Drosophila melanogaster: one gene and its partners. The protein of the gene in region 1 binds, or shares a complex with, the protein of each later gene. Each region holds a gene or a part of one and is shown in the gene's direction. Other genes may lie near its edges.

Evidence for each region.
Region 2: eIF3b (region 1) and eIF3f1 share a complex: the UniProt entries of both Drosophila melanogaster proteins name them as parts of the eukaryotic translation initiation factor 3 (eIF-3) complex.
Region 3: eIF3b (region 1) and eIF3c share a complex: the UniProt entries of both Drosophila melanogaster proteins name them as parts of the eukaryotic translation initiation factor 3 (eIF-3) complex.
Region 4: eIF3b (region 1) and eIF3g1 share a complex: the UniProt entries of both Drosophila melanogaster proteins name them as parts of the eukaryotic translation initiation factor 3 (eIF-3) complex.

Annotation. Positions count from the first base shown.
Region 1 is NT_033778.4:17,534,467-17,540,210, forward strand, and holds eIF3b (eukaryotic translation initiation factor 3 subunit b), read left to right. Parts: upstream 1-1,746; 5' UTR 1,747-1,863; intron 1,864-1,866; exon of another isoform or gene 1,867-1,988; 5' UTR 1,989-1,998; coding exon 1,999-2,113; intron 2,114-2,229; coding exon 2,230-2,545; intron 2,546-2,603; coding exon 2,604-4,156; intron 4,157-4,227; coding exon 4,228-4,316; 3' UTR 4,317-4,597; downstream 4,598-5,744. Other genes in the region: patronin, read right to left, coding at 360-389; Cc2d2a (Coiled-coil and C2 domain containing 2A), read left to right, coding at 4,856-5,744. UniProt on the Drosophila melanogaster protein: RNA-binding component of the eukaryotic translation initiation factor 3 (eIF-3) complex, which is involved in protein synthesis of a specialized repertoire of mRNAs and, together with other initiation factors, stimulates binding of mRNA and methionyl-tRNAi to the 40S ribosome.
Region 2 is NT_033777.3:4,711,697-4,716,108, reverse strand, and holds eIF3f1 (eukaryotic translation initiation factor 3 subunit f1), read left to right. Parts: upstream 1-1,926; 5' UTR 1,927-2,023; coding exon 2,024-2,866; 3' UTR 2,867-3,227; downstream 3,228-4,412. UniProt on the Drosophila melanogaster protein: Component of the eukaryotic translation initiation factor 3 (eIF-3) complex, which is involved in protein synthesis of a specialized repertoire of mRNAs and, together with other initiation factors, stimulates binding of mRNA and methionyl-tRNAi to the 40S ribosome.
Region 3 is NT_033778.4:17,663,519-17,670,354, forward strand, and holds eIF3c (eukaryotic translation initiation factor 3 subunit c), read left to right. Parts: upstream 1-2,159; 5' UTR 2,160-2,298; intron 2,299-2,513; 5' UTR 2,514-2,548; coding exon 2,549-2,641; intron 2,642-2,703; coding exon 2,704-5,343; 3' UTR 5,344-5,467; exon of another isoform or gene 5,468-5,513; 3' UTR 5,514-5,757; downstream 5,758-6,836. Other genes in the region: CG30108 (uncharacterized protein), read left to right, coding at 5,968-6,114, 6,169-6,288; CG30109 (uncharacterized protein), read left to right, coding at 6,664-6,810. UniProt on the Drosophila melanogaster protein: Component of the eukaryotic translation initiation factor 3 (eIF-3) complex, which is involved in protein synthesis of a specialized repertoire of mRNAs and, together with other initiation factors, stimulates binding of mRNA and methionyl-tRNAi to the 40S ribosome.
Region 4 is NC_004354.4:2,608,192-2,612,450, reverse strand, and holds eIF3g1 (eukaryotic translation initiation factor 3 subunit g1), read left to right. Parts: upstream 1-2,114; 5' UTR 2,115-2,205; intron 2,206-2,268; coding exon 2,269-3,078; 3' UTR 3,079-3,204; downstream 3,205-4,259. Other genes in the region: Smyd3 (SET and MYND domain containing, class 3), read left to right, coding at 3,784-3,980, 4,039-4,259. UniProt on the Drosophila melanogaster protein: RNA-binding component of the eukaryotic translation initiation factor 3 (eIF-3) complex, which is involved in protein synthesis of a specialized repertoire of mRNAs and, together with other initiation factors, stimulates binding of mRNA and methionyl-tRNAi to the 40S ribosome.

The DNA of each region.
Region 1 (5,744 bases):
TAATCTTGCAGGGGTAAAGCGTATTTTCCGGCTTCGATTTTTCAGCTGCAGTTTTATGAATGGATGTTGGCTGCTGGCATTATATTCCGATCAGCACAAGCACACCCCACACAACTACCGGTTGTAGTTGTTTGCATTGGCCATCGAAACCAGTCGATTGGTAAGTAGGTGTCGGTCGCATACTAAGCGCTAAGTTGCCGAGCGGCATTACCTCAGCGCACCATTTTGGCCAAGAGAGTAGGTGTTTAGGCCCGCTTCGCCTCCGTTGGAATGTTAATGAGTGCTTTTTGTTTTTAGCTCAAATATGAGTTTATTTTATGTGTAACTTTGTACACGGGAAGCCCTCTTGCTGCGCTTACCTGTCGTATTTCCTGTGTTTCGACATCCATGCTGACGGATTTTCCTGCGACGGACTCCGGCTCTCCGACGCCCGCCACTTCACTTTCCGCACTTTTTGCACTTTTCGCACTCTATGTTTGACCACAACACACCGCTTTTCCTTTTTCACTTGTCTCTTTTCTGCGTGCGAGCGAGTGCGTGTGTGTGTGAGTGTGGCTTGGAGTTTTCCTCAGCTTAGGTGATTTTCACTTGGAGCCTAAACACAAGAAAATACAAAAACACGATTGGCACTTTGTCAAACCACTTGGAAATCGAGAAAAATAACTAATTGCGCACACGCATTGTCAGCGAATTTTTTTCGGCGGGCGGGGCAGGGAAAAAGCTTAAAAGGCAGGCGGGCAGCCGAAAGAAAATGTGAATCATTCACGGAGCGCGACGGTGGGTGGTGGGCGGGGGCGGGGCTGCAGTGCGACAATAACAGAGAACACTTTACAGTTGCCTGTTCGCTTTTCTCGAGATGCTGCTGCATCAGCTGTTGCGATTTGCTCGTCTGGACAAGCCATTTACGCACTTTTCAACCCATCGCAGTGTTCAACCGCCCGTCCATGGTATAATTAATGTTTTCCCAATCCGTTTTAAGCCAGCAAGTTTCCAATTTTCTTTGGGGAACCGCCGACTTAAGTAAATGAAAACATTTTCCTTCGCCTCGCACTGTTGTTGTCCGCCGCCCGCTGTTTGCCTCTCTGTCGCTCCCGCTGCACTGGCAGTGCTGGTGTGCGACACTGCTAGTGTGGTACTGCTCGCACCCACAGCGAACGAGTGGTGACCGAAAAAGCTGTGTATGTGCGCGCGGGTGTGTGTGCGAGAGTGAGTGTGGGGCCTACGCACATTTGGGATGTTTTTCGCACTGATTTGCTGCACCGACGACTTTCGCATGCATTTCACACGGTTCGCGCTCGTCCCCGCTGCATTTTTCAACAGCTTTAATACTACAAATTGGGCTTAAATTGAGAAAATCACGGACACCGATCTGCTCTAAAATCTTACAAATTTTCATGTGAGAGATGGAACCCCAGCCGATGATTACTCGATGCAATCGGTTTTGGCTTATCGGCAACAAATCGATTGATGCCTAATTCTAAAAAATCGGTTGAACATGCTTCAAAACTTCCATCGCTAGAGTTGCAAGCGGAAAAAATGTATGTATTATTAAAGAACGATTAAACTAGTTGTTATAGGTTATACTTTGCTTAATACATATTGACTAATATTAAATAATTGTATGTACATGAAATACAAAATGATAATATTTAGCCGTTTTAACACATTATCACCAGATAAGCACCTAAGATTCTGTTGTTAAGGATCCATAAGAGAAGGATCCAGATATTATTGTCATTGCTGTCAAGCAAACATATGCAGTATAAATACAAATAAATCTAAGAAACAGTAAATTAAAATATATGCATGTACATATGTATTTATAAATATTAATAAAAGTTACCCCGCCGCGTTATCAACGCAGTGAGTAGTTGGCAACACTAACCATTCACACAAAACAGTGTTTCGCCTTGACTGGCAAATGCGGCATCTCGCTCTTCCTTTTTCACTTTGTGCTTGTGTGTTTAATGACGGAAAATTGCAAATAGATCGCTGAATATGGCCAAGAAGAAAAGCGAGGAGCACTCCGGTACGGATGCGAACGACAGTGATTACCAGGAGGAGCCGAACTTTGACGATCCGCCCGGGTTCGTGGACAACATTAGTGATGAAGGTGAAAATCACCGACTGCCAGCGCATCACACGCGGCGATCTAACCTCAATCCGTGTGCGGTGTGCGAAAGTTTGCATTTGCATATCTAATTAAATATATTCGTGATGCACTTTCAGATCTGCTGGGCGACATGTTGGCCCAGCGCCCCTCGGAGGCCGATGGCGTCGAGAGTGTGGTGGTAGTGGACAATATCCCAAAGGTGGAGCCGGTGCGCCTGGAGAAGCTGAAGTTGGTCATCAACAAGCTGTTTTCGAACTACGGAGAAATCGTCAATGTGGTCTATCCCGTCGACGAGGAGGGCAAGACCAAGGGCTACGCCTTCATGGAGTACAAGCAGGCCAGACAGGCGGAGGAAGCCGTCAAGAAGCTCAACAATCATCGCCTAGACAAAAACCACACCTTTGCCGTCAATCTCTTCACCGATTTCCAAAAGTAAGTTCTCCTTGCATCCGCATCAAGCAATGAGATTAATAAAATTTAATCTTGGCAGGTACGAAAACATCCCCGAGAAGTGGGAGCCGCCAACCGTGCAGACCTTCAAAGTGCAGAGCGATCTATACAACTTCATCAATGACCCGGACACTTATGACCAGTACTGCGTGGCAGCGGAGACCGCTCCCAACTGCGTGCAGGTTGGTTTCTGGCAAAACGTATTGCCCGAACCCTTTGAGCTGGAGACTCGCGAACGCTTCACCGACACCTTCGTCAAGTGGTCGCCCCTGGGTACTTATGTAGTCACCTTCCACAAACCCGGTGTGGCCATCTGGGGTGGCAGTAGCTTCCAGAAGATTCAGAAGTTTCCCCATCCTGGTACCCAATTCGTTGAGTTTTCGCCCTGCGAGAATTACCTAGTGACTTACGGACCGACACCCACGGGCCAAAAGATCATCATCTGGGACATTCGCACTGGAGCCGAGAAACGTTCGTTTGTTGCCGATGGCATGTCGGTTCTTTCTATGTTCCGCTGGTCGCACGACGACAAGTTTGTGGCCCGCATGGGCGAGAATTCGATCCACATCTACGAGACACCCTCTTTCTATCTTCTGGACCTGAAGTCCATTAAGATTCCCGGCATTCGTGGCTTCTCTTGGTCCCCCACAGACAACGTGATTGCCTACTGGGTGGAGGAGCAGAACCAAATACCCGCCCGCGTTACCCTGATGGAGATCCCCAAGAAGCGTGAGATCCGTAACAAGAACCTTTTCCATGTGGCCGATTGCAAGTTACATTGGCAAAAGTCCGGCGACTATCTGTGCGTTAAGGTAGATCGTTACTCAAAGTTGAAGAAGGATAAGAAGGACCTGGACGTCAAGTTTCTGGGCATGTTCTACAACTTTGAGATCTTCCACATGCGCGAGAAGGAGATTCCCGTCGACTCTGTGGAGATTCGTGAGCTTATTTTGGCCTTTGCCTGGGAGCCCGTCGGCAACAAGTTCTCCATCATTCACGGCGAGACCAACTCGTCGAATGTGAGCTTCTACGAGGTGAACAAGGGCGTTAAGCCCAGCTTGGTGAAGCGTCTAGAAAAGAAGTCATGCACACATCTGTTCTGGTCGCCACGCGGTCAGTTTATCGTAATGGCCAACCTCACCATGGGTACCTTCGAGTTTGTGGACTCCACCAACGATTACATCATCACGGCATCGCCCGATCATTTCCGCGCTTCCGAGGTCGAGTGGGATCCCACTGGACGCTACGTTGTGACTGGTGTCTCGTCATGGAAGGTGAAAGAGGATACCGGCTTCAACATGTACACGTTCCAGGGCCGCATCATCAAGCGTACCATTCTTAAGAACTTTGTGCAGTTCTTGTGGCGCCCGCGTCCTCCCACCCTGCTTAGCGAGGAGAAGCAGAAGGAGATCAAGAAGAACTTGAAGAAGTACTACGCTGCCTTCGAACAAAAGGATCGCCTGCGCCTTACCCGTGCCTCCAAGGAGCTGCTCGAGAAGCGCTCGCAGCTGCGCGAGACCTTTATGGAGTACCGCAACAAGCGTATTGCCGAGTGGGCGGAGCAGAAGAGTCGTCGCATCATGCTGCGAGGGCGTAAGTATTCTCAAGAAACAAATTGTTTAAAATTTGCCGATTTCTATATGTATATTATCCTTACGCAACAGATGTGGACACAGACAACCTGGAAACTGACGAAGTGGATGAAGAAATTGTTGAATTTTTAGTCAAGGAAGAAGTCACTCTGCTGGAGTAGACGACCCCCTCAACGCCACTCCAACGCTGTCGTCCCCTGCCTACTTCGAAGCGATCCTGTCGCCTCACATTTCGTGTCCGGGACGCGTCTACGCCCTGGTTGATGCCAGGGCCCTAATCCATTATCCAATACAGTAGCACGCGTCTGCTTGCAAACAACTCTAAGCGGAACCTTTGCCTATACATACAACATACGAACATACGAATTATAAGCCCAAAAGTAAACTTCAACTCAATCAGCAATTGCGAACATAACATCTAATTAAATGACCTTTCTTGCGCACACCCCTCCTCCTTCCAGTATGCCTAATAGTAGATTTGCCATGTATTTGTATGTAAACAGCAAAAAGAAAACGAAAACAAAATACGTTTGGGGTATGTTTTTTTGATGTTTCATTCAAGGCGATAGACGATAGATAGCTGGTGGTGAGCAGGTGTGTAACAGTGGTCAAGTCAGTTGCCCATGGCAACCAGTTGAAAGGTCAAAGCAGGCGGAATATTGTTTGCCTGGCATTTTCCGTTTGTAATAACCTATGTAACATGGAAGCCGCTCTATCCAGGAAGACTGCAAAGAAGAAACGCAAGACCCATACCACCAGAGGGTATCGGAAAAGGGAGCAGGAGGTGCAAAAGTTGATAAGGGCAACGGAAGGCAGAATCTCTGGTCCAGAACACGACATGGAGGCACTTAGCCTGCAGTTCTTTCATGGATTTGAGGGTGAGATGCAGCAGGAGAACGATTTCGCTGTTGAAGATTGCCAGGAGAGTGACGAAGATTCGGGTGGGGAACTGGCTGAGGAACCAACGGATTCGCCCTCCCAGACATTTATACATATCGATCTGCACGATCCTCCTCTGGCCTGGGGTCAGCTATTCAAGCAGCGCCACTACTATGATGAGAGCTTACTTTACCGACCGAGTAATACCCTGCACTTTCAGTTGCATTTGAGCGATTTGAGTGAGTTGAAGGACTCCCAGATCCGTATGCTGAACCGCTACCAGGAGCAGTCCAAAAGCAAGTCCGGAAAATTGGGCTCTGATCTGATTGGTCAGCTAAGTGGACAGAAGCCTGCGAGTTTCTTGATGGGGAAACATCTATATCGCAGTGTGTGCCATAGGAGATTTCAGAGCGTGTTCTTCCCTCCCATGCCTCCAAGTGAGTTGAAGGGCCTGCCCTCCAGACGTTGCCTGAAATTGTGCCTCAAACAACTTCGGTTCAGCTTGCATCCTCAACTCTTGGAGGAGCACCGACTGGCCCAACAGCTGGAGGATCTCTTCGATGTGTACAGCCAGCAGAGGAAGCAGAGGATCTGTCGAAAACTGAGGGAGGAACTGGAGATAGCCCGCCAGGTGGCACTCAAGCTGCTCGCCTCAGCTGGCCAGGATCAGACGGCAGAGGTGAAGCGTCAATTAAAGCTGACCCGTCAGC
Region 2 (4,412 bases), on another chromosome or scaffold:
GCTTTACATATTACATATTAGAATTTTTAAAACTCTCCCAACCAGCCTTCGTTCAGTGAAGGGCAAGCGGGACCTTCCTCTTAAAATTGATACAGTTTGTCAAGAAACTGTTTACACACTGTGAAATAAGTTGAATTTTTGACTTTAAAGCTAAAAATTAAAGGTTTTTTGCTTAATTAAACGCATTTTTTTTATAAAATATAATTAAACAATATTTATTTTACTTATAAATCAAAAAACAAATTAAAAATATTAAATATACAAGAAAAAAAACAACAAATTCCAAGTTTAAACACTTTTGAGACTGTCAAGAAACTCTTTACACAAAACACTAAATCGATGTTTAATCCTAAATTTTTAAATTATTTTATTAAAATTTTAAAAGTTTTGGTATGTAGTATGTTCCCCATTGGCTTTAGCTACAAGTTGAAGCCCTTTTTTCATGGAATGGACAAGTTTTTGCAGGTCATATTCAAACGGGATCTTTTCACACTCTTCGACTATTACAGTCATAAGCTGTTGTCGTGTTTTAGGTCCCTTTTTGCCACCTTCTTCTTTAAGTAGGTCCACAAATTTTAAATGGGGTTCAGATCAGGACTCTGAGGGGGCGTATCGATCACTTTACCACAGTTATAAGGGCGCCAGGTGCGTACATTGCACTCTTTATGTTTCTGATCATGTCCTCTTAAAATATAAAATTTGGCTTGTTGTTGCTAACTAGACCAAATTTTTCTGCACCGGCCTTCAAATTTGTTTTTTAAGATTCCTAGATATTGCACGGCATTTATTGTGCTCTAAATTAAGGCTAGTTTTCCCACTCCATGGCTGGTGATACAGCCACAAACCATCAGTGACATTTTTCCAAATTTTATCGTTGGAATGATATTTTGTTTTTCTAGCGCACTCAGCGGTTTGCGCCATACTCTGCTTGGCCCGTCGTTATAAAAGAGCATAATTTTTGTTTCGTCACCAAATATGACGTCATCCCAGTACTCTTCTGGATGATCCACCTTGTTCACAGCGAATTAATGACGCTTTTCCATATTGGCATCTGATAGCAAAGGATTTTTCCTCGCAACTCTTGAAGAGTATCTATGGCGTAGGATGACTTGGCGCACAGTTTCGTGTGACACAGTTAGGTGACACTCTTGCCTGATATCCAGAGCAAGTGATCTGACCGGGGGTTCGCAATCTCTATTCGCATAATAAAGCGGTCTACACGCTTTTTAATTTTAATTTTCCGCCCACCACCACTCTTAGGTTCAAGCCTGTCCTCTTTTTCCGAGCCTTTTAAAAAATAGTAGACGGTCTTACGGGATACAGAAAACATTTATACTTATTCTGGAAAAGATTTTCCCAACTGGTGGTTATAGTTTATTAATTGGGTAACTTCAAAGTTTATCTCTTTCCAGGCATTTTATTAAATTTAATAATTCGCTTTAAGCACGTTTGATCAGCAAAATTTCACAAGCAAGATTGAGTAGTAGAATGTAACCGACATTTTGTTATTGATCCGTTATGTTAAGAATGAGCAGCGAGCAATGAAATTCACGGAAAGCGTTCCGTTATTGAGTGGGCATCATTTGTGTGGCTGTTGTTGTTGTTGTATAGTTTCTGGAAACGAAGTAAGGATGAAATAATTGAGTGAAGGTGAGGAATAGAAGAAAAGCATCGCGAAGGCGACGCTTGAGTAAATTAGTCTGCTTAGAACGACAGAAGAAACAACACGCAGGCGACTTGATGTGCTGGACAATATGGACGCTGAAGTAAATGAAAAGTCGCGCTTGGCATCTCCGACATATTCAAATTTGAATAGTATTTGATTAACTAACGCTAGCCACCGGTTTTACATCGATAAAACGATAGGCCACGCACGACCGCACCGATAGCTCCAAAAGCCATCAACCCCCACCCGCACTATCGATAGGCCCTTTTCTTGCATCCCTAAAACATACGCGCAGCGTGGCTGAATAGAAATTATTGCGGAAATTTTCCTTGCAAATCTTGGCCACCGAAAATTACCATGTCGGCTCTCAATCTGACCGTGCGCGTGCACCCGGTGGTGCTTTTCCAGGTGGTGGACGCCTTCGAGCGGCGGAACGCGGACTCGCACCGCGTCATCGGCACCCTGCTCGGCTCTGTGGACAAAGGTGTGGTGGAGGTTACCAACTGTTTCTGTGTGCCGCACAAGGAGCACGATGACCAGGTGGAGGCAGAGCTGAGCTACGCCCTGGACATGTACGACCTCAACCGCAAGGTGAACTCCAACGAGAGCGTGGTAGGCTGGTGGGCCACCGGCAACGACGTTACCAACCACAGCTCGGTGATCCACGAGTATTACGCCCGCGAATGCAACAACCCGGTTCACCTCACCGTGGACACTTCGCTGCAGGGCGGACGTATGGGTCTGCGTGCTTATGTCTGCATTCAACTAGGAGTTCCCGGCGGCAAGAGCGGCTGCATGTTCACGCCCATTCCTGTCGAGCTGACCAGCTACGAGCCGGAGACATTTGGGCTCAAGCTGCTTCAGAAGACCGTAGGCGTTTCGCCCGCTCACCGTCCCAAGACCGTTCCGCCAATGCTGGACCTGGCCCAAATCTCGGAGGCCTCCACGAAGCTGCAGTCCCTGCTGGATCTTATTCTCAAGTACGTTGACGACGTGATCGCTCACAAGGTAACCCCCGACAACGCCGTCGGACGCCAGCTGCTAGACCTTATCCACTCCGTGCCGCACATGACCCACGAGCAGTTCACTCAGATGTTCAACGCCAACGTACGCAACCTTCTGCTGGTCATCACGCTCTCCCAGCTCATCAAAACCCAGCTGCAGCTTAACGAAAAGCTCACCTTCCTGCCCACCGCCTAGAACGACGGCGTTTGTTGAAGTGGTAATATCTACTAAGGGTGGCATTGTAAACTGATTGTGTTTTTTATCAATGGGGGTCTACGTAATAAAGTGCTCTGATCGCCAAAAAAAAAAACCAAAACTTGTATCGATTACTCTGGTCAGAATGACATTCCATACTAAAGAAAATATATATGGGATTATCTTTTTTATAACTCAATTGAAGAATCAGCATGAATCCTGTGACACCTACACTAAACGACCATGTGGCGTTTGTAGGAGCATTCGAATCTACTGAAGACTCTTAAACACAACAGTATTCATCACCAGGAACAAAATAAATGCATGTGCAACTGAAAATTTAGCACCCAACTGCTAAAACAAAATGTTGTGTTTCAGTCTTTGGTGAGCTTCACTATTCTATAGGGTTTCAGGGAGTCGCATCGGTGCTGGGTTTATTGTAAGAATAGTAATATTTATATTCTTTAATATCAAACTTTGATGATCGTACCTTCGGCACACAAAAGTTATAATATCAAATTTTGTGACGAAATATGACAACACATTCTATTAAAAACTAGTTTCTTACATTTTATAACCAGCACCTCGTTGCATCATATGCGTTACTTAACTTTCAATTGTTTGGTAGCACCAGGATAAACTTGAGCTACGCCTACACTTTTCTGTGCAATCTGCATCCTTAATCTTCTAGCATTTATAGTTCATGAGATCTTGACGTTCATGCGGACAAACATGGCCAGATCGACTGCGCTGATTCTTGATCCTGGTGAAGAATAAAAGGTACTCTAAAGAGCATAAAAAAACACACTTTTCATATGAAAGAAGGACACAAAGGGGCTCCAAGATTTCCCCGTATGCCTTAATATATAAATTAATTAAAAAAAAAACTTTTCATATGAAAGTTTGTGTGGCCAATTTAAATATATTCGTAATGCATACTTTTGGGCGAAATTTAAATCTCAGAATGCGGAAGTTTTTTTTTTAAATCAATAACATTAGTTACAGTGTTACATTAGCAGATACTGGTTCCTCCCAAAAATTTATGAACTCAGTTGTAAGTTTTTATTAAGCATGTCGAATTGACATCCACTTTGTTAGCATATTTGTCGGAAATGCGACAGGACAGGTAAGTTATACATTTTAGAACAATTTAATTAACAATGATAAGTTCAGAAACGTAAAATGATTGTTTCATCATTGAAGGACTGTATCTCCTAGTCATTGAAGTATTACCACCAACATACCATACACCTTTTAACTTTAAGCGTTCTGCAGATCAAAATATGAAATAGTTCTTCATTGAAATAGTTTATTAAAAAACTAAACTATATCTTCTTTGATGTATTTATACAGAAAAATTATTCATATACCGATCATGTTTAAAAATTAATCATACAATCCAAGATGTGTATATAATATACAAATTTTCAACTTTATGCGAAATTACAATAAATAAAAATAAGGGATATAAGAAATGAAATCTTTCGCGATATATGCTCACCTCATGCAAGTTTAAGGGTATGTATATAATAATTATGTTAGTGAG
Region 3 (6,836 bases), 130 kb from region 1:
ACCTTAAAGCCACGTTAACGTATCCAGCTGCCAAAAGCAAATAAATGGCTACCACAAGCGATGCACTTTGGGATTTCGCCTGCATTTTTATTTCCCACCCAGTCATTTTTGTGCATTCTCAAGTGCTCCTGTCCATGGCTTTAGCTTGTTTTGGGGTTTTTTCCCTGGTTTTTCATTAGCTTGGGAGTTTCCGTCTTGTGGAAACTCAGTGTGCAGCATGAAAAGGGTGTTGTCCAAATCCCCGAATAAAACATGAGCTCAAGATTCTGATTACGACTGTAACCTTTATGTCTGCTCCTCCTAAATTGAAATGAAAAACACGCAGAATTTATAGTGCATGGAAAGAAACTATTCAATTTATTCGCAAAAGAGTTTTGTAGTAAGCGGACATTAATTTTACAATATGCTCCATTATATTAAAATATCCATAGGAATTAAAATATTTTCAAATTGAGAGAAGGCAAATTATTAAAAATATAATATTATCGAATAAGAAATACTTTATTTCAGGAAAATATTTATCTAAATATAAAGCCATTTTTTCTGTGTAATGGATGATGACGAATTGAATGAAAAAGAAGTGCATCGGTTTTATCAATAAAAACTAAATTAAAATGGAGGCAGGAACGTGGGAGTAGTTATTAGGAATTATTCATTGAAATTGCGTAACTCAACATTTGTATTCAATCAACAGGAAATCTATGCTCGAGCAAGGGCAGAAATCGCATTTAAATGGAAATTTCTATAGTCTGTTTCGAGCATCGGTTTTGAAAATATCCAACCCATATATAGGATTTATGGGGCCGCACAAGCCGTAACAATCCAACGGAAAACGGAAGCAAAATAAACAGCACAAAAGCGTAACGGAAACAGAAACAGAACCCCAGGAAAAAGGGGCCCGTTTTTGCCGATTTGGATGTATGTAAATGCATATAAGCTTTTGCACCCACACACAATTTACGATTGCAGCTGCAGTTTCGGAGGAGTCAAGGAGCAGAAACCCGTACTATTTCACGGACCCTTTACGGATTCAAATGTCGATAGGCGGACAGGGAATTTATGGAGCTCTCATCAATTTCTCCGGATAATAAAGCCGCCATATGCACTCTCGAATGTCAGCTGTCGAAAAGCCAGGAAAAGGGCGATTACGCGAGATTAACCGATCAATTTTTAATTTGCCATTTCCGAGACCGCAGATACACACATCTCCATCAATCTGCAGTTATTATTTATTATGCTTACATTTGCGTTAAAGTGTTTTCCGTGTTACTCGTGTTTTCAAGCGATTCCGGGCGTCGCATCTCATTTAGGATGCCACTTAAACAGGATGTGGATGGGCAGAGCACATGCCACGCACACACCGCACACTTGGGCCAAATTTTGTTTACACCGCCAAGACACAACACAACACACAAGAATTCAAATGAATGAATTTATTGAATTCTTTTTAGCGGGCCGCAAAAGCACTTGAGACTCTATCGCCGGATATTGGCATCAACGCTGCCAAATCGCCGAGTACATCCGAAAAATTGAGTTTTTGAACTTGAACTGTCCGTCGGCGCGGAGGAGAGAACGCATGCGACTTGTTGGCGCGCGCGAAAACGTTTGGCTTGGTTTTGCTTTGGCCTTTCCTTGGCTGCCTGGCTGCATGTTGGCCGGACCAATTGATCCGGAGATTGGTTGGGGCGCCAGAATGGGAACCCCACTCTGTTTGGCTAAGAAATGCCGGCACTTTTGCACGCAAGCGCAGCAACATGTTGCTGGCAACTTCAAATGTTGCAGGTCACCAATGCAACATCTATGTAAGCATTGATCACTGATTATCTTTTTAACATTATTTTGAATAGTTACTTAAATGGCCACTATTTCATTTTGATGATATATTTGCTATGTAATTTAATGGATTTATTTTAAATGTACCGCCCAACCGGTTACTTGATATCGATATATCTCGAGAAGTGCCGGCATTTCGTTATCGATGAGTACGCGCTCGCATTCAGTCAAAACAGTGACTCCCTTAGAGATGGGATAGATTTCGGTAACTGTTGGTCCGCCACATAAAAAAACAAATGTTCTGTTACATTTAAAAAAATGTTTAAAACGCTCTCCTTACGAATATTAGTAGAGAGTAATCATTTCTCAACATGACAGTTATTATTAATACATAAATCAAACGCCCCGCCCCGTGACTTTGAGCAATATATATCGCCAACGAAAACACATGCAACCATCGCCCATCTCTAGTCTCTCTTTTTGATGTCTTGTGCATTCGACATCGTTTAGTTTTGCTGTAAAATAGTAAGTTTATTGTGAAATATCAAACGCCAGGTGGTAGTAAACACTTAAAAAGCAAGGCAGTGAACCGATTTCTGCCAGGGCTTCGAATGAAACAACCAAATGTCATGCGGAAATATTTGGCATACGTTTTTGCAAAACGCCATGTTGGCCGCTCAAACATAACCTCAACAAAGCAAAATCTTATGTGGCCCGAAACTAATAAATTGTGATTCCAGGCGCAGACAAACGGCCGCGTAGAAAGTCAACAAAGATGTCGCGTTTCTTTGCCAACGGGTCCGAATCGGAGTCCGAGTCCAGCGAGGAGGAGATCCAAGCGACCAACTTCAACAAAGCCAGCGCCTTCGTAAGTGCCGCCCAGATGTGAAACTCATCCATTACTAATCTATTCCTTTCCGTGGAAAACAGCAATTCAGCGACGATGAGGAGGAGGTCAAGCGCGTGGTCCGCTCCACGAAGGAGAAGCGTTACGAGAACCTCACCAGCATCATCAAAACCATTCGCAACCACAAGAAAATCAAGGATATTCCCAATACCCTGAGCAGCTTCGAGGATCTGACGCGCGCCTACCAGAAGGCACTGCCGGTCATCTCAAAGGAGGAGAACGGCATTACGCCGCGATTTTACATTCGCTGCCTGGCCGAGCTGGAGGACTTCATCAACGAGGTGTGGGAGGATCGCGAGGGCAGGAAAAACCTTTCCAAGAACAACTCCAAGTCGCTGGGCACTTTGCGCCAGAAGGTACGCAAGTACATCAAGGACTTCGAGGACGATCTGTCGCGTTTCCGTGAAGCACCCGACCAGGAGAGCGAGGCCGAGGACGAGGTGGTTGCCCTGGAGAGCGACGGCGGCGATGCTGGTGATGACAGCGACGCCGGAGTGAAGCCTACAGAAGCGGTTCCGAAAGCTGTGAAGTCCGCGCCGGCAAAGGCTGCGCCCGCCGATGATGACGATTCCGATGACTCCATTGATTGGGACTCGGACTCTGAATCGGAGACCGAGTCCTCTGACGATGAGAACCAGTATCAGAACATGCGCGAGCGATTCTTGAAGCGTACTACCGAAAAGGAGGAAAAGGATGATGACAAGAGGAAGGACAAGCGTAAGGAGCAGAAGACCAAGATCCGCAAGCGCGCCGAGGACGATGAAGATGGCGAGTGGGAGACTGTGGTCAAGGGTCATGTAGTAGAGAAGCCCAAGATGTTCGAAAAGGACGCAGAGATCGATGTTCCCCTAGTGCTGGCCAAGCTGTTGGAAATTATGTCGGCTCGCGGCAAGAAGCGCACCGATCGCCGTCTGCAGATCGATCTGCTTTTCGAGTTGAGGGACATCTCTGATCAGCACAACCTGGGAACCGCCGTCTCCGTGAAGATTCATTTTAACATCATCTCGGCTATCTACGATTACAACCAGAAGATTTCCGAGCCCATGAAGCTAGAACACTGGGCCCTGCTTCTGGAGGTAATGCAGAGCATGATGAAGCTCCTGCTGGCCAACGCCGACATTATTATGAGCGAGAGCGTGGCCGAGGAGCATGAGGAGTACGCTACGTCACCGTTTTATGTGAGGGGATGCCCACTGGCTGCCGTGGAGCGCCTGGATGACGAATTTGTTAAGCTGCTGAAGGAATGCGATCCACACTCCAACGACTACGTGTCCCGGCTGAAGGACGAGGTGAACGTGGTTAAGACTATTGAACTGGTGCTGCAGTATTTCGAGCGCTCTGGCACCAACAACGAGCGCTGTCGCATCTACCTGCGCAAGATCGAACATCTCTACTATAAGTTCGATCCGGAGGTGCTGAAGAAGAAGCGCGGTGAGCTGCCAGCCACTACCTCCACCTCCGTAGACGTGATGGATAAGCTGTGCAAATTCATCTACGCTAAGGACGATACGGATCGTATCCGTACGAGGGCCATCCTGGCGCACATCTACCATCATGCTATGCACGACAACTGGTTCCAGGCCCGTGATTTGGTGCTGATGTCTCATCTGCAGGACAACATTGATGCCGCCGATCCCGCCACCCGCATCCTGTACAACCGTATGATGGCCAATCTGGGTCTGTGTGCCTTCCGCCAGGGCAACGTCAAGGATGCGCATCACTGTCTAGTGGACTTGATGGTCACCGGCAAGCCCAAGGAGCTGCTCGCTCAAGGACTGCTGCCTCAGCGCCAGCACGAGCGATCTGCCGAGCAGGAGAAAATCGAGAAGCAACGCCAGATGCCATTCCATATGCACATCAACCTTGAGTTGCTTGAATGTGTCTACCTGGTGTCCGCTATGCTGCTCGAAATTCCTTACATTGCCGCCCATGAATTCGACGCCCGCCGCCGCATGATCAGTAAGACCTTCTACCAGCAGTTGCGTTCCTCGGAGCGTCAATCACTGGTGGGTCCACCAGAGTCGATGCGTGAGCATGTCGTGGCTGCTGCCAAGGCTATGCGTTGCGGCAACTGGCAGGCGTGTGCCAACTTCATTGTCAACAAGAAGATGAACACGAAAGTGTGGGACCTCTTCTACGAGTCTGATCGCGTGCGCGAGATGCTGACCAAGTTCATTAAGGAAGAATCGCTGCGCACCTACCTGTTCACCTACTCGAACGTCTACACCTCGATCAGCATTCCTTCGCTGGCGCAGATGTACGAGCTGCCCGTGCCGAAAGTGCACTCCATCATCAGTAAGATGATCATCAACGAGGAGCTCATGGCCAGCCTGGACGATCCATCCGAAACCGTGGGTATGCATCGTTCGGAGCCATCGCGTCTTCAGGCCCTGGCCATGCAATTCGTGGACAAGGTCACAAATCTGGTGGACGTCAACGAAAAGGTGTTCGACATGAAGCAGGGCAACTTCTTCCAGCGCGGCAACATGGGCAATCGCGGTGACCGTGGCTACAACCGCAACCAGAACAACCAGGGCGGCAATTGGCTCGGCCAGCGGCGGGATCGCAACAACCGGAACCGTAACCAGCGCGGGCACCACAAGAACAACCAAGATAGGCAGCAGCAGCAACAGCAACAAGTCCAAACGATCGACGAGGAGTAGACGTTGCTGCAACCTCAGCCCATCCTCTCTAGCGAGCGTTAGCTTAAACATCAGCAAAACTTAAACAGATCAAATTTGTAGCACTTCGACTATTAAAATGGAATGGCCATGGACAACACGTTGGGTCACATGCTTTCAGGCCTCCGATTCGGTTTCAGGCTGGGTCGGAGGTCTGTTTTTATCATGTCCATTGCATATTGTTGTAGCCAAGTCACACGAACATTTGTTTCAGCGCTCATTACGTTAAATGATAATACTAATAACTACATTTTGTATGAACCCAAAACCGAAAAAGAAACCTTAAAAACAAGAGACACAAAATCAGTGACTTTTTTTTGCAAATTTTTACCAACAACTAATATTAAATTTATATGTACTAACAAGAGTATTATTTTAGTCGGCTTAACACTTTGGCTTTTGAAAATTTAAGAAAACTAAGAATAACATTTGAATTTCGATGACAAGCTTCGTTTTCTGCAAAACTTCGGATATCGATATGCTCTTTTTTTCTCACATCTCTGAAACCTTTTCTTCAGTAGTACCGTTCGACGTACCTTTGTCACATTTTTTCGGAACTCTATAATAGGCATTATAAATTAAAACCAAAATATACCTAGTAAACAAATGAGCAGCGTTGGCGAGGATTGCAACGAGCTGAAGCAGCAGTACGATGCCTGTTTCAACAGCTGGTTTTCTGAACGCTTCCTAAAAGGTCAAATGGATGACTCAGCGTGTGCTCCGATTTTCCGGGTTTATCAGGAATGCGTCAAGGTGAGCTAATCGGCTCCCTAACCACGTATGGTTTGACCAACCTGTAATCCCCAGCGCGCTATTAAGGAGAAGAAGATCGATTTGCAAGAGATAGATCCGATCTTCGAAACCGGGCTTGAGGAGAATAATGCGAATAGATCTGATGCAAAACAGCAGCAGGCGGGCGAAAGCTGACCCCGTAAGCTGCTCCATATAGCCATCCTAATCCTCGCCAGCGTTAATTGGTGGCTGCACGCGCTACAAAATACTTGTAAAGAGAAACATTTCGTAGTACTTTGACTGTTAATAGTATCATCATGAAACATGGACAACTGATTTCGTTATAACCAGAGTGCCTTTATTAAAATAAATTAGATGTTCTTAAAGAATTGAAAATTCAAATTTCGATAGCACGTTCAGTTTCAACGAAACGTACATCGATATGCTGTGTCCCACATCTCTGATAGCTTATCTGTAGTATGACCCTCACACAAACCATTCTCACATTTTTTTCGACTTATTATTCAATAGAGAAATTATAACTGAAACTCAAAGAGCTTCACTCCACAAATGAACAGCATTGGCGAGGATTGCAATGAGCTAAAGAAGCAGTACGACGCCTGCTTCAACAGCTGGTTCTCGGAAGGCTTCCTTAAGGGCCAGACGGATGACTCGGGCTGCGCGCCGATTTTCCGGGTCTATCAGGAGTGCGTCAAGGTAAGCCCAGGTTTCAAGTTTCATCA
Region 4 (4,259 bases), on another chromosome or scaffold:
CCCCATCCATTTTCAGGGTTTCAAGATTAGATTCTGCCAAAGCAAAGTCAAAGACCTTGTTAACGAAGCCGAACAAGAGGAAGAAATACTTAGGACACATAACAGAGCACACAGAAATGCTGTGGAAAATAAAGCTCAGTTGTCCGAAAGAGTATACTTTCCTAAAATGAGGAAAAAAGTTTCGGCTATCGTGAATCAGTGTTTGGTGTGTAAGACTGCTAAATATGACAGACATCCCACGCATCCAGAAATAAGACAAACTCCCTTGCCAGAATACCCCGGACAAATTATTCATATTGACATCTACTCGACAGAACGACATCTGGTGCTCACGGCGATTGATAAATTTTCCAAACTGGCCATGGGAAGAGTTATCAAATCCAAAGCTGTAGAAGACATTAGGAAAGCCCTAAGAGATATCGTGTTTTATTATGGAGTGCCTAAATTAATAGTAATGGACAATGAAAAGTCCCTCAACTCAGCCTCTATCAAATTCATGTTGACAGACCAGCTGGGTATTGAGCTCTACAAAGCACCTCCGTATAAGAGTACAGTAAATGGACAGATAGAAAGATTTCACTCCACACTCTCTGAAATAATGAGATGTTTGAAAGGAGATGGAACACATAGGGGCTTCGAGGAACTTCTCGATAGGGCCATCTATGAATATAACTACACTGTCCATTCTGTCACAAAAAAACGACCTCTAGAGGTGTTCTTCGGCAGGATAGCTACCGTAGCTCCAGAAAAATATGAACAAGCTAGACTGGACAATATAGACCGACTTAGGCAAAAACAGGAAACCGACATAGAATACCACAACCGGACAAGAAAGCCCATAAAAACCTATATCAAAGGGCAAGAAATTTTCGTTAGGGTTAATACAAGATTAGGTTCTAAGTTATCAAGTAGATTTAGGAAGGAACTAGTTAAGGAAGACCGAAGTACCACAATATTAACAGAATCAGGGAAATTAGTACATAAAAGTAACATAAGATCATGATTGCTTCAGAATAATTACTGTGGCCACATCGATAGACAAGTAGAACATAGAAACATTAAACATACTGATTAACGTAACCACGAGAATTAAATTTGAAACGATTCGACTTTGACAGACGAGTTGGCCATAGGTTTGCAGAATTAGATTGGGCTCGTGAAAGAAGAGATTGCGTTGTGAATGCGTTTCTGCGGAGCGAGTTTAAATTGAATGAGACCAGTAGCCTACTTGAAAACAATATACCGATTTCTGCCTTGACGGTCAAATAAATGTTAAAACTTTCACACGTTCTCGCTTTACACAACGGAACTACAATTTGAATGCCATTGAAATCTCCATATTGAATCAGTTAATTCCTTATTTCTTATATTTTAAAACATGATCAGTAAAGGAAACTAATAATAATAAATAAATAATAATTTAATTTGAATAATAATAAAATTTACCAATTAAAGACGAAATGTACGGAATCAATGCCTTCTGCAAAGGTTCCAATGGTCTAAAAATATGTAGATATAAATTCATTAGTAATTTAGTAAAAACCAGAATTTTAATAGAAGCAATCAAGTTGTCAATGCAGAACACATCCGAGTTGCACAAACCTCGAACGCACGCAACAATAAACACCTGGCATTCAAACCATTAATGCTGTGCCCAAACTACCACGAATCACCCCACCAACGATGCGACTCAAAAACATCCCATCCTTATGATGACCGCTCGAGGACAAGCGTCAATTAAGAGGGGAGGAGTTATTGCCCTGCAATTGATTCTCTAACATCTTGTGGTTCCACATAGTCTCCGCTGCCATCAACGCCAACGAACGGTTAAGCGCGACATCGACACTTCTGCGCTGCGCCGCGGCCGACGCCTGCTGCGCCGCTGCCGACGACTTCACTTGATTGCTAGGGACTTAGGGAAACATTTTGTACGCTAGATTTAGTTTCAAATGATAAATTGCAATAAACGGTCGCTTGCGATCTTCAAAATCAAATCGATAACTTATTAACTTATATGTAACGAAATTTCAAATGGTATATTCCAAAAAGTGCAAAGTGGTATTAGCGGTATATTTTTTGGACACACACGGCATATTTTTGTGACCGCGGCAGGGTAACACTCTTTTGTTGCTGATTAAAAATCCGCTTAACTCGTGGCGAAATTTGCATTTACGATTTCGCATACAAATCGCGTTGAAAATCAGAGTGAGTGCACCCCAAGCAAGCGCCCAGTGTAGCCCCACTCACTGCGCCCTCAATTCCTTTCAGATGCCGGGCGTTGAAACGATCAAATCCTCCTGGGCGGACGAGGTGGAGCTCGACTATGGTGGACTACCTCCGACGACGGAGACGGTGGAGAACGGACAGAAGTACGTGACGGAGTACAAGTACAACAAGGACGACAAGAAGACGAAGGTGGTGCGCACGTACAAGATATCCAAGCAGGTGGTGCCCAAGACGGTGGCCAAGCGACGCACCTGGACGAAGTTCGGCGACTCGAAGAACGACAAGCCCGGCCCCAACTCGCAGACGACCATGGTGTCCGAGGAGATCATCATGCAGTTCCTCAACTCCAAGGAGGACGAGAAGGCCAACGATCCGCTGCTAGATCCCACCAAGAATATTGCCAAGTGCCGTATCTGCAACGGTGAGCATTGGTCGGTCAACTGCCCGTACAAGGGCACGGCGATGGACACGAATATGATGGAGAAGAAGGCTTCGGCAGCCGCCGCGGCCGCCGTCGATGCGCCCAAGTCCGGCAAGTATGTGCCGCCGTTCCTCAAGGACAGCCAAAAGGGCGCGCTGGGAATGCGCGGACGCGACGACACGGCCGCCATTAGGATATCGAATCTGTCGGAGTCGATGACCGAGGCGGATCTCGAGGAGCTGGTGAAGAAGATTGGACCGCAGAGCAAGATGTATCTCGCCCGCGACAAGAACACCGGACTCTGCAAGGGATTCGCCTACGTGCACTTCAAGCAGCGCAAGGATGCGGCCGCCGCCATCGAGATCCTCAATGGACACGGCTACGACCACTTGATCCTCAGCGTCGAATGGTCGAAACCCCAGAACAATTAGTTAGTCCCGTTCCCACTACCCGCGTTTACTGCTCATAGGAGTCCGTTCGAGTCGATCACACAATTTGTCCCTATGCTATGCTAAGTTTGCTACAAATAAATCTTAAAACAGCCCCCATGGGCACCGAAAACCAGATGACTATGCTCTGCAAGGATACAATGGCATCTAGAATCGTATATTTTTCATATTTGATATAACTTAATCGCTCTTCTTTAGTTTTGCGGACCAACCAACACAAATGCTTTCGACTTTTGCTCTAATATAGCTTTCTCCCTCGTTTTAAAGGACGCAAGGCCACCAAATCGTAGACACTGGGAACAACATATAAAAGAAATATTTTTTATTTGTTACTTAAAAAACTTGAATATGATTTGTTAAGTGTATTTTTTAACGACATGCAGCTACCCACATATGGTTAACAAGTTAACCTTACGCGGTGCCCACTGTAGAAAGCATGATTCCAGCCGATCTGGCAACGCCATCGTTTGCATGCGAATAAACACCATGGTGTTGTTGTTTTTGTGTTTGCCAGCGATTTGCGTAAATTGTGTTTGTTTTTGTGGCCAAAAATAGAAATCAGATGCCGCAAAATATTCAAAAAGCATTCGAAACAATATTTTTGATCTTCAGGTGTGCGCTCATTTTCAGTCGTCAGTGAGACGGGCCCCCAGGCGAAAGTCTTTGTTGTTGCTCCGTTCGAGCGAAATGGCCACCGCCACCGTTGGTTCATCCAGATCCGCAACCACATCCGCAACCGCATCCGCATGCTCATCCAAATCCAAGAACCTAAAGAATCCGGCGCCGCAAATAAAAAGGGGACAGCGGATCCTCACGGAGAAACCATTCGCCTTCGTCTTGAAATCACAGTACCGCCTGGAGCGGTGCGATAACTGCCTGGAGGCGTAAGTTTCGCCATGTGGCTGCCTTTGTGAGCTATCTAATTTGGGTTCGTCGTTGCAGGACCAAGGTGCTGAAGTGCTCCAACTGCAGGTATGTGTCCTACTGCCACCGCTCATGCCAGATGCAAGCTTGGGGCCAGCACAAGCACGAGTGTCCTTTCCTCAAGAAGGTGCATCCTCGAGTTGTGCCCGATGCTGCCCGAATGCTCTGCCGACTGATCCTGCGCCTGGAGCACGGCGGAGACCTGATCCGCGGCTATTACACCGAGCACGGCTCCCGCA